3 linked regions of the Cricetulus griseus genome follow. The protein of the gene in region 3 purifies or fractionates together with the protein of the main gene of each other region. This does not show direct contact. Links are inferred from orthologs where the notes say so. Each region holds a gene or a part of one and is shown on either strand. Other genes may lie near its edges.

The links.
Region 1: the proteins of Btk (region 3) and Ankrd54 purify together in Homo sapiens (affinity purification with mass spectrometry; 4 studies listed by BioGRID and IntAct, counting the BioPlex papers as one, with this or other methods). This does not show direct contact. The link is inferred for Cricetulus griseus from reciprocal best matches to the Homo sapiens genes BTK and ANKRD54.
Region 2: the proteins of Btk (region 3) and Blnk purify together in Homo sapiens (affinity purification with western blotting; 5 studies listed by BioGRID and IntAct, with this or other methods). This does not show direct contact. The link is inferred for Cricetulus griseus from reciprocal best matches to the Homo sapiens genes BTK and BLNK.

Annotation. Positions count from the first base shown.
Region 1 is NC_048595.1:376,176,245-376,182,678, forward strand, and holds the start of Ankrd54 (ankyrin repeat domain-containing protein 54), read right to left. Parts: upstream 4,064-6,434; 5' UTR 3,965-4,063; coding exon 3,640-3,964; intron 1,516-3,639; coding exon 1,468-1,515; intron 1-1,467. UniProt on the Homo sapiens protein: Plays an important role in regulating intracellular signaling events associated with erythroid terminal differentiation.
Region 2 is NC_048596.1:20,564,827-20,571,377, forward strand, and holds the start of Blnk (B-cell linker protein), read left to right. Parts: upstream 1-2,488; 5' UTR 2,489-2,569; intron 2,570-4,709; 5' UTR 4,710-6,234; coding exon 6,235-6,281; intron 6,282-6,551. UniProt on the Homo sapiens protein: Functions as a central linker protein, downstream of the B-cell receptor (BCR), bridging the SYK kinase to a multitude of signaling pathways and regulating biological outcomes of B-cell function and development.
Region 3 is NC_048604.1:45,557,321-45,562,413, reverse strand, and holds part of Btk (tyrosine-protein kinase BTK), read right to left. Parts: intron 3,674-5,093; coding exon 3,555-3,673; intron 2,652-3,554; coding exon 2,494-2,651; intron 1-2,493. UniProt on the Homo sapiens protein: Non-receptor tyrosine kinase indispensable for B lymphocyte development, differentiation and signaling. Binding of antigen to the B-cell antigen receptor (BCR) triggers signaling that ultimately leads to B-cell activation.

The sequences.
Region 1 (6,434 bases), on a different chromosome or scaffold from region 3:
CTGCTTCAGTTGGATGGCTGACCACCAAGCTTCCAGGATCCACCTGTCTCCAACCCCCTATGGGGTTACAAGCACATGGAACTATACCTAACTTTTTGTTTTTTTATTTTGGTTTTTCAAGACAGGGTTTCTCTGTGTAGCTTTGGAGCCTATCCTGGCACTCACTCTGGCGTGTTCGAGGCTGACCTCAAACTCACAGAGATCTGCCTGCCTCTGCCTCTCAAGTGCTGGGATTAAAAGTGTGCGCCAACGCCCAGTGCTAACTTTTTTTTAAAGATGTATTTATTTATTATATATACAGTGTTACAGTGTTCTGCCTGCCTGCATGCATGCCTTCACTACACGCCAGAAGAGGGCACCAGATCTCATTATAGATGGTTGTGAGCCACCATGTGGTTGCTGGGAATTGAACTCAGGACCTCAGGAAGAGCAGCCAGTGCTCTTAACCTCTGAGCCATCTCTCCAGCCCCTTTACCTAACTTTTTTACATGGGCCCTGGGGATTTGAACTCAGGTCCTCTTGCTTTTACAAGAAGTGCTCTTACCCACTGAGCCATTCCTCAGACCAAACCTATTATTTTTAATCTCCTTTTGTACTCCAGGCTGTTTTAGAACTTGCTGTGGTAGTCCAGACTGGCCTTAATTTGTCATCCAACTACCTCTGCCTCCTGAGGACTGTGATTAAGGGCATACCCCACCACACTGAGATGTGAATACAGTAAATGATCTGAGGACCAAAAGATCTGAGATCATGAGCCAAAAGTAATCTCCTTCCTTAGGATCTATTTTGTCACCATGAAAAAAGTCTAGACAATACAGCAGACCATTTCTCCAACACACCATTTCCTCTGACACATGGGAAGTATTGTTATCCGATTAAATAAGTAACTGTGGTGGTGGTAGTAGTAGTAGTGGTGGTGGTAGTGTTTGTCCTAGAAGCTGTCCTTATACCTCCAGTGCTCTACCTCAGTTAGGGAAAGCTCAGAAACAGAAACAGAAAGCCAGCTGCAATGTCCTGTAGGGAGCCCCACCCATGCTTGTCAGATGCCCTGTCAATAACAGGTCTGAGAACTAGTTACTGGACAGCCTGGGGTACTAGATGATCACCTGGCAGTCAAGGTGGAGTGTTCACTCCTGGGAGCCAAAAGTTCCAAAGTGGGCATTTGCTTTTTTCTGAGGGTATTGCTGAATCCCAGAGATTAAAAACAACCAGGCATGGCCCCTAGCATCAGCAAGCACACAGGGTGATGAGCACTATGACACCAGGAGACTCTGGGTAACAGAGGGGCCTGGTGAGGGAGTACCTACACCTTACTTCCTTCCGTTTTGCACAGTGATTTCAGGGTCAGGGAGTGAATACAGTGAACATGCTCTGAGGGAATGTGGATGAGCTGGCAGACTGCCCAGGTATGGAGTACTTGGCTTTTTCCTTCCCCATCAGCCCATAGATGCCACTGTGCACACTCACCTGTTTCTACATCATTGGCATTGGCAGAATCCCTCAGCCTCTTCAGAGCTATAAAGAGAAAAGTGACAGTTAAACAAAATCGTAACAAAACCATAAGGCACATCGCTTCCCAGTGTTCCCTGATATTCCACCCTTCCGTCACAGCAGCACAGAAAGGCAAAGGTATCGGGACAGAAACCACTAGTCTGGGAACAAGGAGAAACTGGAACTGGGCCACAGTTGGAAGAGAGACCAATTTCTGTAGAAAATTGACTTCTGGAGCCAGATCTAATTTCTGCCACTTGTCGTAGTTGGCGACCTTGAGCAAGCCAGTTACTTACCCTGGGCCCCAGCCCATCATCCGTACAACAAGGCTGACTTGTTCTGCCAGCTCTTAAGTTGTTACAAAGAAAATTGAGATAATTTTTTAAAAGAGAAAGACTGAGCAGGTTTAGTCCTTTGTGAGCTAATTGCATTCAACATTTTATTATTCTGCTTCAAAGCAGGTCATTCCTAAATGACTTACCAAACTCAGTAATTCCTAAGCAGAAACTTCCCTCTTCTCACTGATGCCACTTCTACCTTAGAACTAACAGAAAGCAATACCTTTGTTGTCAAGAGAATGGTCAAAACAACTGCAAACTAGATATAACAATTGCATATATCCATATGCCACATTTTTGTTTATACAGTCCTTTGAAATTCTCTTTTAATCTTTCTTGAGACAGGGTTTCTCTGTGTAGCCCTGGCTGTCCTGGAACTCACTCTGTAGACCAGGCTGGTCTTGAACTCACAGAGATCCACCTGCCTCTACCTCCTGAGTGCTGGTATTAAAGGCGTGCGCCACCACTGCCAGGCCCTCCTTTGATCTTTATAACACTAAGACACCAGGTGAAATGGTGCTAGTCTGAAAAGAGACCTTAAAAATTTCCAATTTATTAATCTTTCTGTATCCCATTTTCCTTTTCACCCACAAACTGCAGAAACAATATAGCAGATGGGGTTGGAATACTGGCATAGCCTTCTTCTATATGACTTGAAATCAGAATGTCCAAATGGGCTGGAGAGATGGCTCAGAGGTTGAGAGCACTGGCTGCTCTTCCAGAGGTCCTGAGTTCAATTCCCAGCAATCACATGGTGGCTCACAACCATCTATAATGAGATCTGGATCCCTCTTCTGGCACACAGGCATATATGTAGGCAGAACACTGTATACAAGATAAATAAATCTTTAAAAAAAAAAAAAAAAGCCGGGCGTTGGTGGCGCACGCCTTTAATCCCAGCACTTGGGAGGCAGAGTTCGAGACCAGCTCTGGTCTACAAGAGCTAGTTCCAGGACAGCCTCCAAAGCCACAGAGAAACCCTGTCTCGAAAAAACCAAAAAAAAAAAATGTCCAAATGGTAATAACTGACTCAGTGGGAAAAGAGGCTAGCTACAAAGCCTGATCTACTGAGTGTAATCACCAAGATTTACAGTGAACCTGGAACTTGATACTTAGCCCAGACTAGCCCTGAACTCAGAGTCCTGCTTCTGCCTCCTCAGGATTACAGGAGTACTACCACACCTGGCACACCTGGCTGTTTTTCTTTCTTTTCTTTTTTCCTTTTTTTTTTTTTTTTTTTTTTGGTTTATCCAGACAGGGTTTCTCTGTGTAGCTTTGTAGACCGGGCTGGCCTCTAACTCACAAGACATCCTCTTGCCTCTGCCTCCTGAGTGCTGGGACTAAAGGCTTATGCCACCACCACCAGGCTCTGGCTGTTTCACTTGTTTACAAGTCACTTCTTATGGGCCACAATGTATCCCTTGGAATGACTATAAAAGGTTGTGTATCAAAAGTGCTTGGTCCATCACAAAGATAGATCAGAACCTTGCCTAAGTCTTCACACCCAAGGAAAGCTGGTAGTGTACCCATTCTACAAATAGGAAAGCGAGGTCACACGTGAGTCTGTGTGGAGCAGTCTGGTTCAGATCTGTGCATCACACAAGTTGGTACAGCGTGGCCACAGCTCTGGGTTCCCTTCTCTAATAATAAAAATATTCTCCATTGTCTCACATTATTGTCTACTAACAACCACTCTCGAGAGTGGAAAGTTTTTATTCAGGGATGTCCAAGTGGCCGAAGTCACGGTCCTCAACAGCTTTAACTGCTGCGATCATTCACGAGCGACCCTAGGATCCCGGGTTGAGCTCACCGTGCACCTCCTTGCCAGTGGGCCCGAGCCTGCGGTGGGGCCTAGCGGCGCGCCTCAGCCGCCCGGCGGGGATCTTGCAGCGCAGTTCATCGCGGGGCTCGGCGTCCTGCTGCCACAGGACCTGCAGGTAGCGCAGCGGGGACTGGGCCCTGCCGGCTGCCCGGCCCGGGAGGCCTGCGCCGCCGCCCAGCGCAGCGCCTAGGTCCGCGAAGGAGAACAGGCCTCCGGCTTCCGCCAGCGGCTCCGGCGCCACCGCGCACTCGCCGTCGGAGCTCGAGCGGCCGGATCGGGACTCGTCATCCGCGACCCCGCCGGTGGCTGCCATGGCAACGGCTAGGCGCGGGCCTGGCAGCGCCAGCCTCGTTCCGGACCGACCAACGGACCCGCTTCCCTCTAGGAGAAGCCTCGCTGTCAGAGAGCGAGCGGGCGGGGCCTGCAACCACGGCAACAGAGTGCAGGCAAGCCGGGCTGTGTAGAGCGTCAGACCAATCAGAGATCGCGGAACCTGCACAACACAGCCAATCAGGCAAGGAAGGCAGAGTATAACGAGAACACTGGTTTACGGCAGTTTGTCTGGCGGGTACATAAGCCAATCATAAGTTGGGATTGCTCCGCACTAAGCGGTGTTGCTACAGGAGCCAATAAAAAAGCAGAGTTCAGTCTACTTTCCCCCACCCTCTTCTGCCAGTTCTTCCTATCGTAGATCCGGAAGGACGGCAGGCAAATACTTTGGCCAATCACCATAAGATGCTCTCCAGCCAATCGGAAAGGAAAATGAAGAAACCAAACTACTCTGATGTGTGTTTTGAATCAATGAACACAGGCACACAGAAAGAGGTTTTCCACAAAACGTACAATGATTTGAAGATCACCACGAAGCAGGTGGTAATATCTTCTAATGTAATAGATTTATCTTTGTCAGGGTTCTCTTTCCTTCACAGGGATCATTGATTTAACAAAGAATTTTACCTTATGTTATTATACAAGAGTGACCCTTCCGTAGACAAATTAGCTCAGGGCTATTTTTCAGCCTTGAAAGTCCTACCAAACACGGGCCTGAACCTGATACAAGGGGCCTGCAAGTACACACACACACACACACACACACACACACACACACACACACACACGTCATTTGCATTTGGTCAATTCATAAAAAAATAGAAAACACTTGAAAGATCAAGTAAATAAATGCCTGTATCATTGTCTTGTGGGACTCCAAGGACATGGGTTCTAGTTTTGTTCTACTCCATATTTGTAATTTGGGGGCAACTTCTTGGAGCCGGTCTTTTCACCAGGAATTTTTCTAGGTTGGATATGAATACCAGGTGCTCAGGCTAGATCCAACAAGTTGCCTTGTCTTTCCATCTTTCTTTGCCTCGACTGGTTGGCCTTTAAAGAATATTAGAGAAATTTGTACTGGTTGTCAGCATTTACAATTTGACTGCTGATGGGGCTGGAGAGATGAGTCGGAGGACCTGGATTCGATTCCCAGCACCCACATGGCAGTTCCAGAGTAATCTCTCACCCTCACACAGACATACTCTCATGTGAAATACCAGTGCACATAAAAATAAATACACCTTTAAAAAATTAGTGCTGGAGAGATGACTCGGAGGTCTTCCAGAGGTCCTGCGTTCAGTACCTAGCATGGCGGCTCACAGCCATCTGTAAGGAGATCTGGTGCCCCTTTCTGGCCCACAGGCATACATGCAGATAGAACATTATATACATAAATAAATAAGTAAATCTTGAAAGAAGGGTTTAAGAAATTCAAATCTGAGCCAGCAAGATCGACAATGGTTCTCAACCTGTAGGTCTCACATGACCCTTTCACAGAAATAGCCTAAGACCATTTGTTTATCAGATATTTATACCATCTGCATATCATATATTTACATTATGATTCATAACAGCAGCAAATTACAGTTATGAAGTAGTAATAATGTTTGGGGTTACTACAACATGAGAAACTGTATTAAGGGGTTGCTGCAGTAGGAAGTTCCAGAACCACTGGTTCAGCAGGTGAGAACTCTTGTTGAAATAGGCTGACAACCTGAGTTAGATCCCAAATCTTGTGGTGGATGTTCTTTAGCCTCCACACTCACTCCATGGCATGGACACACCCACTGTCTCTCCCTTTCTCCCTTCCCCTCCCTCCTTCCCTCACCCACACTCTCACACACAAATAATAAAATTTTAAAATAACACTTGGCAGCAGGGCGGTGGTGGCATGTCAGGAGGCAGAGGAAGGCAGATCTCTCATTTCGAGTCCAGCCTGGTCCACAGTGAGTTCCAGGACAGCCAAGGCTACACAGAGAAACCCTGTCTCGAAAAATCAAAACAAACAAACAAACAAGCAAAACCAATAAATAAAATAACACTTGGCAGCCAGTTCCCATTGGTGGCAAACGCCTTTAATCCCCCCACTCCTGAGATCTTGTGCCTTCTGCTGGCATGCAGGCAGAAGACTGTATACATAATAAAAAAGGGGGGATTTATTCGGACTCAGGAGGCAGAGGCAGGTAAGATCTCTGTGAGGCCAGCCTGGTCTACAGAATGAGTTCCAGGACAGCCTGAGCTACACAGAGAAACATTGTCTTGAAAGAAAACAAAAAGATTTGCAGATGCATGGATTATGAAAGGGAAGAAAGGGTGGCTGTGGAGGTTTTGACATGAGCAACAGTGCAGAACATTATGTCCTTGAGCTCATAGATAAGCACCGGGGAAACCAGGAATGTTAAACACACAGGTTTATCTCTTCAAGGGATGTGCATACCTGTTTACCTCCCAGA
Region 2 (6,551 bases), on a different chromosome or scaffold from region 3:
ATGGGAAAATCTCTGTACTGCGCCTCATTTGAATTATCCAATAGAATCCCTGCTTCTCGCGTGCACTTTTTGCTATATAAGGACCCCTCTCCCTTGGCTCGGCGCGCTTGGCCTCACAGAAGCTAAGTCGCCCCAGGTACCCGTGTCTCCAATAAAGCCTCTTGCAGTTTGCATCCAAGTTCGTGGTCTCACTGATTCCTGGGTACGGGTCTCCTTCTATGAAAGTACCTCCACAGGGGTCTTTCAGGCCAACCAGTACTTTATTTATCATCCAGTAAGACAAACACATACACAGAAGCACTTTCCCCATCATCTCCTCTTTTCTGTCTAAATAAAAAGAAGGATAACTTATCTTTTATAATAACTGAAGAAAACTATAACCATAACTATCTGTCTTTAACTCTATCAAAGACCACAGAAGGATAATATATAAACTCTAGAATTGACAGAGACATCTGGCTACCTGAAGAGTCACCCAAAGTTCCTCTGTAACATTGGGGCATCCATCTTCAGTCCATAGGCCATAGTATGTCTGGCACACTTCTCCATTTCAACAGGAACCTTTCAGTACTGTCTTATTTTGTAAGTTCAGCAGTCACTTTCTTGTGGGTCCTGTATGTCCAGTTTATACAGTGACAAACAGTCCAGGCAAGAGCAGTTTCTTGCTCAAATGGCTAATCTTGCCATGTTGAAAGCAAACTCCATAACAAGTTTCTTCAATGCCCATCCTCCTTTCTGATGTAATTGGTGTGCCAGGAGCAGTTGTGTCTCACTGTCAAGAAAACCCTAAACCATTTAAATGCCATATTTTCTGTAGGTCTTTGAAAAGTTTGAAGAATACCTATCCATCTTAAATACATCTCTGTATATCTGAAAGACCTAACTAACCTAATTATAAGTTCTGACTATCATAGGTGACTATATAACCTGTATTTAATTATGCATATCATTTTAAAAGATCTGTATAAACACAATACCTAAACAAGAGGCGACATATACATATCACAAAATTGACCTTAAAGTGTCAATCAATGAAAATCCATACCAATGCAAAGTGTTCATTCCTATGTCCTACTCCCCTTTTTTTCCTTTAAAAAGAGATTGACTATGCTCATTACTATTTGTAACCAACCCCATTTAAATGTAAACAAACATTTATAAACAATATTTGGGAATTTGGGCGTCGTTCATTCCAAACTGCTTCCTGCTGATTGGGGGCGATGTCCGTATCATGGGGATCATGATAAAACATAGAAACCTGACCAAGTCCTTGTTTTTGTAGTCCATTAGGTTGCATCATCTCAGCTGCTTTGGATGTAGGATCAGTTGGGTCACTGCTTCAGGGAGTCTTGACCTATGCTTGATCAAACCATATTAGTCTGGAAGGAATCCACAGCTTTTCATTTTCTGTGGAGACACAAGCAAAAACTTTTTTCCCAAGTAGCCTGTCCTTAGACTTAAATTTTTAAGTCAAAGCATTTTTAAAATGTATAAGTTGGATTAATTTAGCAGCACTTATAATCAAATGTATTTTAGCAGCAGTAACTCTTTCCTCGGTAATCAAACAATTTAAAGACAACAATATAGCATATAGTATCTAGACTCTCTGTGTATTCCATCTTTAGGTGGCTTTTCTATTATTCTGTTTTTACTTTCTTTTGTTTCTTTTTTTTTCTGAGACAGGGTTTCTCTGTGGAAATCCGATTGCCTCTCCCTTTGGAGTCCTGGGATTAAAGGTGTCTGCCACCACACCCAACTACTCTATTTTCTCCTGTTATTTTTTCTCTCACAAGCCTACAGATATTTTTAAATGTAGTGTAAACCTTTAGATGTTTTTCTTTATCTGGATCTGTCTTTATCATCTTGGGAGTGCCGAGTCCAACCTCCATGAACTCCATGATGGCGCGAGCATATGCCTCTCAGCAGCCCAAAAGGGCCGGCTGTGGCAGCAGGTTTTCCTCTTCCTCTGGGAACCTTGGGGCATGGGGTCATCCCGCTCACTGACACCATTCTGTTACCATAAATCTTTCTGCTAAAAGCCACTGCAGCCCTACTGCCACGTGGGTGCTTTACACCAGCCACCCGAGTCTGCCCGACAAGTTAGGGCCCCAAATAATACACAGACACTTATATTAGGTACAAATATGCTTGGCCAAAGACTAGGATTTCTCATCTGTTAGCTCAGTCTTAATTATCACAAATCTATATATTTTATAAGACTTATCTTATAGAGGATGCCTTTCACTGGCGCCCTCTCTTGCTGGTGGATCACATGGTGACTCCAGAGCAAAGACCAGGAAGAAGAGAGAGGGGTGGCCCACTTCCTTCTTGCCCTTGTTCACATATGAGTCTCCCTGCTATGTCACTTCCTGCCTGGATCACCACTTCTTTACTACATTTCCCAGAATCCTCCTTGACTCCTAGTCCTGCCTAACTTGCTGCCTCATTGGCCAAACAGTACTTTATTTATCATCCAGTAAGACAAACACATACACAGAAGCACTTCCCCCATCACCGGATATCATTCATCTGGATTTTCTTTATTCCCCTCATTGATTTTATCATGCATGTATGTATTTTTAATATGTTTTGTTGTGGCTAGCTTAACATTAAATAGAACCATACAACATTAGTCTCTCTTATTTTTGATATATTTTAATTAAAATGTAATTGTATCATTTCCTCCTTCCCTTTCCTCCTAACCCCTCCCATTTTCTTCCTGTCTTCCTTTCAAATTTATAGCCTCTTTTTCTTTGATTATGGCTTCCATATATATATATATATATATATATATATATATATATATATATACATATGTGTGTGTGTACAATTATGTACATACAACTTGTTGAGTCTGTTTTTGTTGTTTGTGTGTAACTGTATTGGTGTGTTGCGTGTAAATGATTTCAGAACTGACTACTTTGTATTGGATGCTCAGTTAGGGGCCTCACCCTAAGTGAGGTTAATTTTTCCATCTCAGAAGTCATTGGAACCTATAGTTCTTTGTCTAGGGGAGGGGCTCCATGAGAGTTTCCGTTTCTGCATTGAGAATGTCTGTTGATATTCCCACTGTATGGTCTGGTTTAGACAGCGTTTCTATGAGACATCAACTTATTTTTTAAAGTTAACTTTTACTTATATGTGCATTCACATGCTCTACTGCTCACATGTGGAGGTCAGACGTGACTCGAAGGAATTGGTTCTTTCTACCACATGGGAACTGGAGAGTAAATTCATAGTCAGCCTCGTGGTGAGAGCCTTTTCCCACTAAGCCATCTTACAGGCCTGCTCATTCACTTCTTCAGTTTGTCTTTATTGCACCAATTATCATCATTACCATTATTATTTTTACTTGGGCTGGAGAGATGGCTCAGTGCCTAAGAGAATTGGTTGCTCTTCCAAAGGACTTGGGTTTGATTCCCAGCACCCACACAGAGGCTCACAACTGTCTGTAATGGCAGTTTCAGGGAATCTGAACTTTCAGCCATGCCTCTCTCCCCCAGGCACTAAGTATTCAGGTTAGGTATAAAGACATGCATGCACACAAAGCACTCATAGATATAAAATAGTAGTAAAATAGTTTTAAAGAGAAAAACACTATTTTGCTATTTATCCATAGTGATACAACTGGAGTTCCCTAGTGTCCAATATTAAATAGTATTCGTTTATGTGAATGTGGCACACTCATTCATTATTCTCCTGCTGATGAACAATTGGGCCATTGTTTTTGTTTTTCCTGGTAGAGACACCACTGCAAGCTGGTGTTCAGTGGTGCAGCACTTGCATGGCATGCACAAGGCCCTGAAGGAGAGGAGCAGTAGCCTTTCACTGAACATTCATGCAGTGGTGTTCCACTTAGAAATGTCTTAGAGACCCATCACCTGTGCAGCCCTAAATATGCACACCACCAAACTTACTAGACAATACCAAACTGTCTCCAAAGTGGTCGTGCCTTATACTTCTCTCAGCAGTGTGCATGAATCACAAATTTTTTTTAAAAAAGCATATTACCGGACATTTGTCATGTTAATGTAGTGATCCGATCATCTCTGTGCCTGCTGTTATAGACTGGGCTTGAACGCTCATCACGGCCTGTGCCTTGTGGTTTCACTCCATTAACAAGTTAGCAGCTAAGAGTTGGTATCATTGGTTTCCATTCTTGCATAGCCCTTCTGGGAAAGCAGTGATGGCTGTAAAGCCATTTTGGCAGGCTTGGAACGTTGGGCTATGACACTGCACACACTACACACCACGTGGGGCAAAATGTCCAGCCTGGAAAAGCAGATTCTCGTTTTCATCAAGTCAGAGTTAATACAGTAAAAAGAAGAAAGACAAGCCGCTGTAAAAAGAAAAAGCAGAAGTATAACCCTTGCCCCTGTCTCTTTCTCTGGGGAAATAAGAAGCTGCCAGACCAGGTGCTGAGTGGAGTTGGTGGAGGGGAAAGTTGGGGGGGCCAACGGAGGAGATTTTACAATCATTCAGAAGGAACAAGAGGCTGTTGTCATCCCACTGGCCAGACCCTCCCGACCCTTGATGACATCATACATGTTTTCCTCATGTTTCTTTCCACTAAGCACTGTGGGAGCAGAGGGGCCCGGAACTAGAGCTCCTTGAGAATATACTGCAAGAAAACCAAGCAACCTGATTAGGGAGAACCAACAGCTACAGAAATCTAGCTCTGGCATTTATCTCATGCTGATCTACTCTAGGGCAGCAGAAGGATCCCCACCCTTCATCAGTCCTGAATCGTCAGCTCCCAAACATCCTGAGGGATGGGAGATTCAGACATCATGCATGAATGTGAACAGTCAAGGAACCTGGAGGCGAGAAGACTTCCGTTTGAACAAAGAACCAGGAGGGAAGAAATCCATTCTTGCTCTCCGTCTCTCTGTATGGTCCTCCTTCCCTCTCTCTCTTCAGTCAGGCCTTGAGGCTGTAATGGAAGAGAACTGAAAGCCTCCAACTTTGTCCCCCTGTGCATTCGTTAGACAGGTTGATGGTCCTTTGATTATGTGAGGAACATAAACCTCCTTCACAAAGGACATACCGGGTGGCAGGAGTAGGGGTGCCCAGGTACGACAGGAAGAAAGAGCACTCCCTCTGCTTTTCTCACCCTTGACCTTAGACTGCCTTCGGCTCCTTAACTCACAGATAAGTCAGAGGCTTGCAGAGTAGGCAGAGGAATGGGTAGGTGTCTTGAGGAGGGCAGAAGAGCTGTCTGGATGGGGTCAGCAGGTGCAGGTGTGGGAATCACTGTCCTTGGGATGACCCAAATCTGATGTATTACCTGGGTCTGATGAGAGGACAAGGTGAGCAGAGTCCAAAATCAGGAGGGGACAAAGACAAAGACACGGAGGGGAGTTAGGAGGCATCTGCCTGATGTCATGTGTTAGGAAATCACTGGGCTTGTTCTCAGCTGATTTTGAGCATATCCTGGTTTTATTTGAAAGCATTAAGCTTTCAGCAAGGCAACTCCTGACTCCACACAGTGTATAATGGAGATCATTTTTCCTTCTGGAATCGCCTATCTCTACCCCTAAGTGACACGGACCTTCGCAAGGAATTAACGGTCCCATTTTAAATACAGCTTGAGAAGAAGAGACCCCACATCTCTGAGTAAATGACCACTGCCATGACCTTGCCACCCAGATGTATGAGGAAGGAGCATTATGAACAGTCCACTTCATATCTTAGGTCTCTGAGCAGAGGAGGCTAACCCATGCCCTCATGCAAACGAGCAGAAAGCCCCCAAGAGTCATCCAGGTGTAATTGACTGTTAGCTTTTCCTTGTACATGGCAAGTTGCAGGTGACCCTGGCCATCTGCTGAAAACAGGGACTAACTACCTAAGGTTTGGGACAAACAGGAAGGCGTGTCCAGCCAGAAGCTTATTCCAACCTGGCAACAAACCTGGTCATAAAAGAGAGCTGCTGGAAAGAGATTTGCATGCCCAATAAGGTTTCACTACTGAAGTTTACACAACGCACAGTAATCTGCCAAGCAGGCTGACTCCCTGGATCACATGATCTCGTAGAAACATGAAACTTGACGATGCGCTCCAGCGAGTTTTACTTCCCCTGTGCAGGGGTGTTTGCCAGCAGCCTGCGGTTGCTCTCAGAAGTCAGTTCCAGTGGCTTGAGCCCTTGAGCCCAAAGCCTTACCATGCAGCTCCCTAGGAAGGCCAGGAGCTGCTGATATCCCCTTGGAGAGCGACCCACATCTCCTCTCAAGAAAAATGGACAAGCTGAATAAGATAACTGTCCCTGCCAGCCAGAAGCTGAGGTAAGTTTCCCTTCAGATCCTTAGCCCTGTTCCTTCCCCACTAGTGCTCCTACTGTTTTCGGAGGCACCAATACCCTAGAGTACTCCACCAGTTCCGAGGAAATGACTGTTCCCCAATGCCTATGGGGAAGCAGACCGCATTTTTTAAGAAATATGTAGGAACCAGTGGAGCTACTCTGGCTGGTTTTTGCCAGTGATAGGACAAAGGGTGACGCTCTGGAAAAGCAAGAGATAGAAAATTCTATGGCCCACATGTTACCGATGGTCAGC
Region 3 (5,093 bases):
CTGGATTGGACCCTGAGCAAGCAGGGGCTTTTGTTAGGTTGACTTTTAAGATTACGGCTCTTTTGGAGATCCATGGTCAGATGAAACACTGGAAAGTAGACCAGGCTAGCCTCAAACTCACAGAGACCCACTTGCTTCTGTCTCCCAAGCGCTGAGATTAAAGGCATGTGCCACTACACGTGGTTAAGATTTGGTCTTTTCTTTTTTCTTTCTTTCTTTCTTTTTTTTTTTTTTGGTTTTTTGAGACAGGGTTTCTCTGTGGCTTTGGAGGGTATCCTGGAACTAGCTCTTATAGACCAGGGTGGTCTCGAACTCATAGAGATCTGCCTGCCTCTAGATTTGGTCTTTTTTGAAAGGAAATTTTTTTTTTAGTTTTTTGTTGTTTGTTTTGTGATAGGATGGCACTCTATATCTCAGCCTACTGTGGAAGGCAACATGTAGCTTGTGCTAGCCTGAAACTCATGGCAAACCCTCCAGCCTTAGATTCCTGAGTGTTGGAACCACATAGGCCTAGTTGTCCTGATGTATTTGATAATTCAGGAAGGATTCATAGCAGAGTGGCCTCAATCCATCAGAACTAAAGGGTCATCAATTTCTTAGTATTCAAATCAGTGGTTTTCAAACTAGATAAGTATCAGACGTTCTAAGAAACATGAAAGGATTTCTGAGTTCCATAGCAGATATACCTATCCAGAATCTCTAGAAAAGAAGCCCTGTAATTTATATTTTTGAAAATGCCTTAGGAGGCTGGACATGGTAGCACATGTCTTTAATCCTGATACTTGAGAAGAGACAGGTGAATCTCTGTAAGTTTGAGGCTGGTCTGGTCTACATAGTGAGCTCCAGGACAGCCGAGAATATGTAAAGAGACTCTATCTCAAAATAATAGTAGTAATAATAAAATCCTTATGAGTAGGGTATAGTAGTGCATGCTTGTGACCTCAGCACTTGGGTGGTAGAAGTAAGAGAACCAGAAGTTGAAAGTCAACCTTGTCTACATAATCAGTCTGAGGCCAGCCAGACAATTCAAGACCCTGTCTCAAACAAATGCCTGCACCACACACCTGGCTTATGAGGTGCTAGGGACCAAACCAAGGCTTCATTCATGGTAGGTAAACACTCTACCAGTTGAGCCACATTCTCCAGCCCCGGAAAAGCATTTTTAGAATAGTGAAACATGATCCTTATTTCTACAATACTAAAAATTCACCCTCTTAAAATCTGTATTATATTTTTTAATGAGCTAGAAAATTACACAGTATTTAAAGCACTGACTGCTCTTCCATTGGACCCAGGTTTGATTCCCAGAATGTACATGGTGGCTCACAACTGTCCATAACTCCAGGTCCAGGGGACCTGATACCCTCTTCTGGCTTCTATGGGTGTATCAGGCACAATCATGGTGCATAGGCATACATATAAGTAGAACACCCATATACGTAAAATAATTTAAAATATTTTAGAATCAAAACCCCAAAACCAAAGCAGACAGACAAAAACTACTTCAGGTCCCTTCTAAGCAACAGAGTTTTTAAAATCTCATTTAGAACCTCAACCAGAAAAGATCAGCAGCTGGGCTGGAGAGATGGCTCAGAGGTTAAGAGCACTCACTGCTCTTCCAGGGGTCCTGAGTTCAATTCCCAGCAACCACATGGTAGCTCACAACCATCTGTAATGAGATCTGGTGCCCTCTTCTGGCCTGCAGGCATACATGCAGACAGAACATTGTATACAAAATAAATAAATAAATCTTAAAAAAAAAAAGAAAAGATTGGCAGCTAGTAAAGTGGAAGAGATTGCATCTTCTAGAGCAGGAAGACTGAGGTGGTTATTTACTATTATTTGTGTAAGTGCTTCCCTAACAAATACCTGTTTATCATTTATCTTGGATCTTTAGGACCCATTTAAACCCCACCTTCAATTGGTGCCCACATGGGTTCAGTCCCATGATTAGCCTGCACGGCCGGTCGACCACGGCTCCCATGACCCCAATGACCAGGAGCCAGGCCCGCCAGCCTCCCTGTGTTGACTCAGTCAGATGAGCCAGCCCCTCCTCTTCCTCATAAGGGATCACATCTCCACCTGGAGCCATACCCCTAGGATGTGGCCACCACTGCAAGTTCACTGGCAAAGCAAGATGTCACTACAAGAAGGATCAAAACTCCTAGGTGAGTCCCAGATAATGATTACAGATATTATAACGCCCATATCTTATCTGAGTGCCTTTGATAGATAGTATGGTCCCACAAACTCCTCACACTTAGAGCTGATATAGGCATTAGGGTCTAGTCTGCTAATGATACTCTATCGAGGATGAGGGTGGCAATGGAAATGCCATCAGAGGATTGGGATGCAGGCCAGAGTGAGAAAGTATGTGCAGCTATAAGTCTGTGCCCAGCTAACAGGTGACCACAGAGAGAGGGGACTGCCTGGCAAATGAGATATTAAGGAAATGCAAAGGAATAATTTCTGAGAGAACACTCCAACACTTACCTCATGCCAGCAGCTGTACATGATGGTATATACCCTCTCTGATGCTAGATGAGGCCTATAGAGACGTAAGCCTTGAGCAATGTGTTCTGCCGTCTCACTGTTAGTAAATCTCTCATATGGCATCTTCCCAAGGGAGTAAATTTCCCACATTAAAACCCCTAGAAGATACAAAAGAGAAGCGTACTCAGTCTTTTTGGACTACTTGGGGCCTAATCCTTCTGGCTGAACCTTAAAGATTAAAATAAGTTTACCCTCCGTGAATTTTGCATTTTGCTCAGACATCTGCCATGGTCCGGGCTACACTAGTGGTGGCCAACAGAGTCACACTAAGCTTGACCATTAGCTAGTCTAGAAGAGAGGCCGTGTCTTGTTTGTCTTGGTAGCTTCAGGGTCTGGCAGAGTGCCTAGTACATAATCAGTATTCAGAAGCCATTGAATAATGAATGGTTTGTTTCCCAGGATATATTGTAAGTTCTAAGAAAACACGGATTATGTCCAGTTTGCTGTGGTTGTCCTCAGAAGCCCCTGTGGTTCCTGACATCCTGACACATAAGAAGCATCCAAGGATCAGATGAACAATAACAGGAATGTAAATGTCAATTGTCCTGTTATGTTCTATGTTCTTCTTTGAGCTGTATAATCTATATTCTCTCCCCCTCACCAGTGCGTGTATCTGTGTGTGTGTGTGTGTGTGTGTGTGTGTGTGTGTGTGTGTGTGTGTGTGTGCATGTGTGCTCATGTACACCACAGCATACAGTGGAGGTCAGATAACAACCTTGAGTGTTGATCCACACCTTCCACTTGTTAGGTGTCTCTTGCTGTTTTTCTGGTAGATTCTACAGGCTATCTGGTCCATGAGTTCCTTGTCATTCTCTGGTGTTTGCCTCCTATCTGCTGGCAGAGGCATAGTGAGATTCCAGATGCCTCTATTCACTACTGTTACCCAGCTTTTATCTGGGTTATGGGGATCTGAACTTAGGTTGTAAGGCTTGCATGAGAAGTGGTTTGGTTTACCCACTGAACATCTCCACATCCTAACCTGTATGTTTGTGTCTACTTACCAAAAGCCCAAATGTCAGATTTGCTGCTGAACTTGCTATACATGAGCACTTCTGGTGGAGACCACCGGACTGGGAATTTGGAGCCTACCGAGCTGGTGTATTCATCATCCAGGACATACCTGCAAAGAATTCAAGACTTGTTGCTATTACACTTTAGACAGCTTGATATGTTCCTGAGTCTTCTCAGCACACCCATGAAGGCTGCACAGATACACATTTACATTCTTTCCCAAAAGTTTCTGCAGGTCAGCCAGTGCATTCTACAAATGTAATTTTTAACAAAACCTTGGTTACAATTTCTTTTTCTTTTTTTAAAAAAAGTATTTATTTGCCTTCTATGTGTTTGAATATAGCATTGTATATGGCAGGCTAGTACCCTACTAGTGATATTCACTTCTGGTCCTTTTTGCACTTTAAAAAAAAAATGAGACAGTGTCTCACTAAATTACCCAAGATGGCCTTGAACTTTTCTGAGACAGGTTTCTCTGTGTACCCTGGCTGTCCTGGAACTCACTCTGTAGACCAGGCTGGCCCTGAACTCACAGAGATCCGCCTACCTCTGCCTCCCAAGTGCTGAGAATAAACGTGTGTGCCACTACCACCCAGCAAATTGTGAGCTACAGGTGGAAGCTGGGTTTGAACCCAGGTCCCCTGGAAGAGCAGCCAGTGATCTTAACCACTGAACCATCTCTCCAGCCCCTTGAACTTTCAATCATGACACTGCTTGAGCTTCCAGAGTCACTGGGATTACAGGCCTGTACCTTCAGGCTCAGGTTCCATATTGATTTCTGATTTAGCTTTCCTGATACACAATATGGTTACAATAAGAATAAACAGAGGAATAAAACTAACAAGGACTTCTTTCTTCTTCTCTACTCCACCTTTTTTCTCTGCATTTCTTCTTCCCCATTTCTTTCATTCTGCAGTAGCCAATAAGGGTTAGACCAAGAAAGGAAGAATGGAAGAAAGTCAGCAGGTTTCATATCAAGATAAGATATTGAGGAAATAGGAGAAGGATGAAGAGGGGGAGGAAGGGTGCAGAGGAAAAAGAGGAAAGGAGAAGAGGGTTACAACAATGAAGGAATGGATGAACCTGGCATGGTGGCTCATGCCTGGAATCCCAGGATTCCAGAGGTTGAGTCTGTTGTGGGCACAAAGGTCCTTGTACCCATAGATCACTAGGGAAAACAGGGATGTCAAACACACAGAAGCCTCTTCTCCAATGGAGGAGATAAAATACTTGCTTCCTGCCTGGAAAGCTGGGAATGGATTTTGTTAATCTGGTGACCTTTTTGCTATCTGTGGAGGCAGACCTCACCCACCTTTTGCTATAGAAGAAGACCTCATCCAAATCCCCCAGAAGGATTATCCCAGACTCTTCCCTCTTTAGATCATTACCCATCCTTAGTGGGGTTGTCACATGTACTTTATGACCTGCTGACCTCTATGATATCTCAGTCAGAGACCACACTAGATTCTAGGCCTTTTAGCTATAGAACCTACCCTCACGGTCACATGTACTGTGTCTCTATGTAGTCA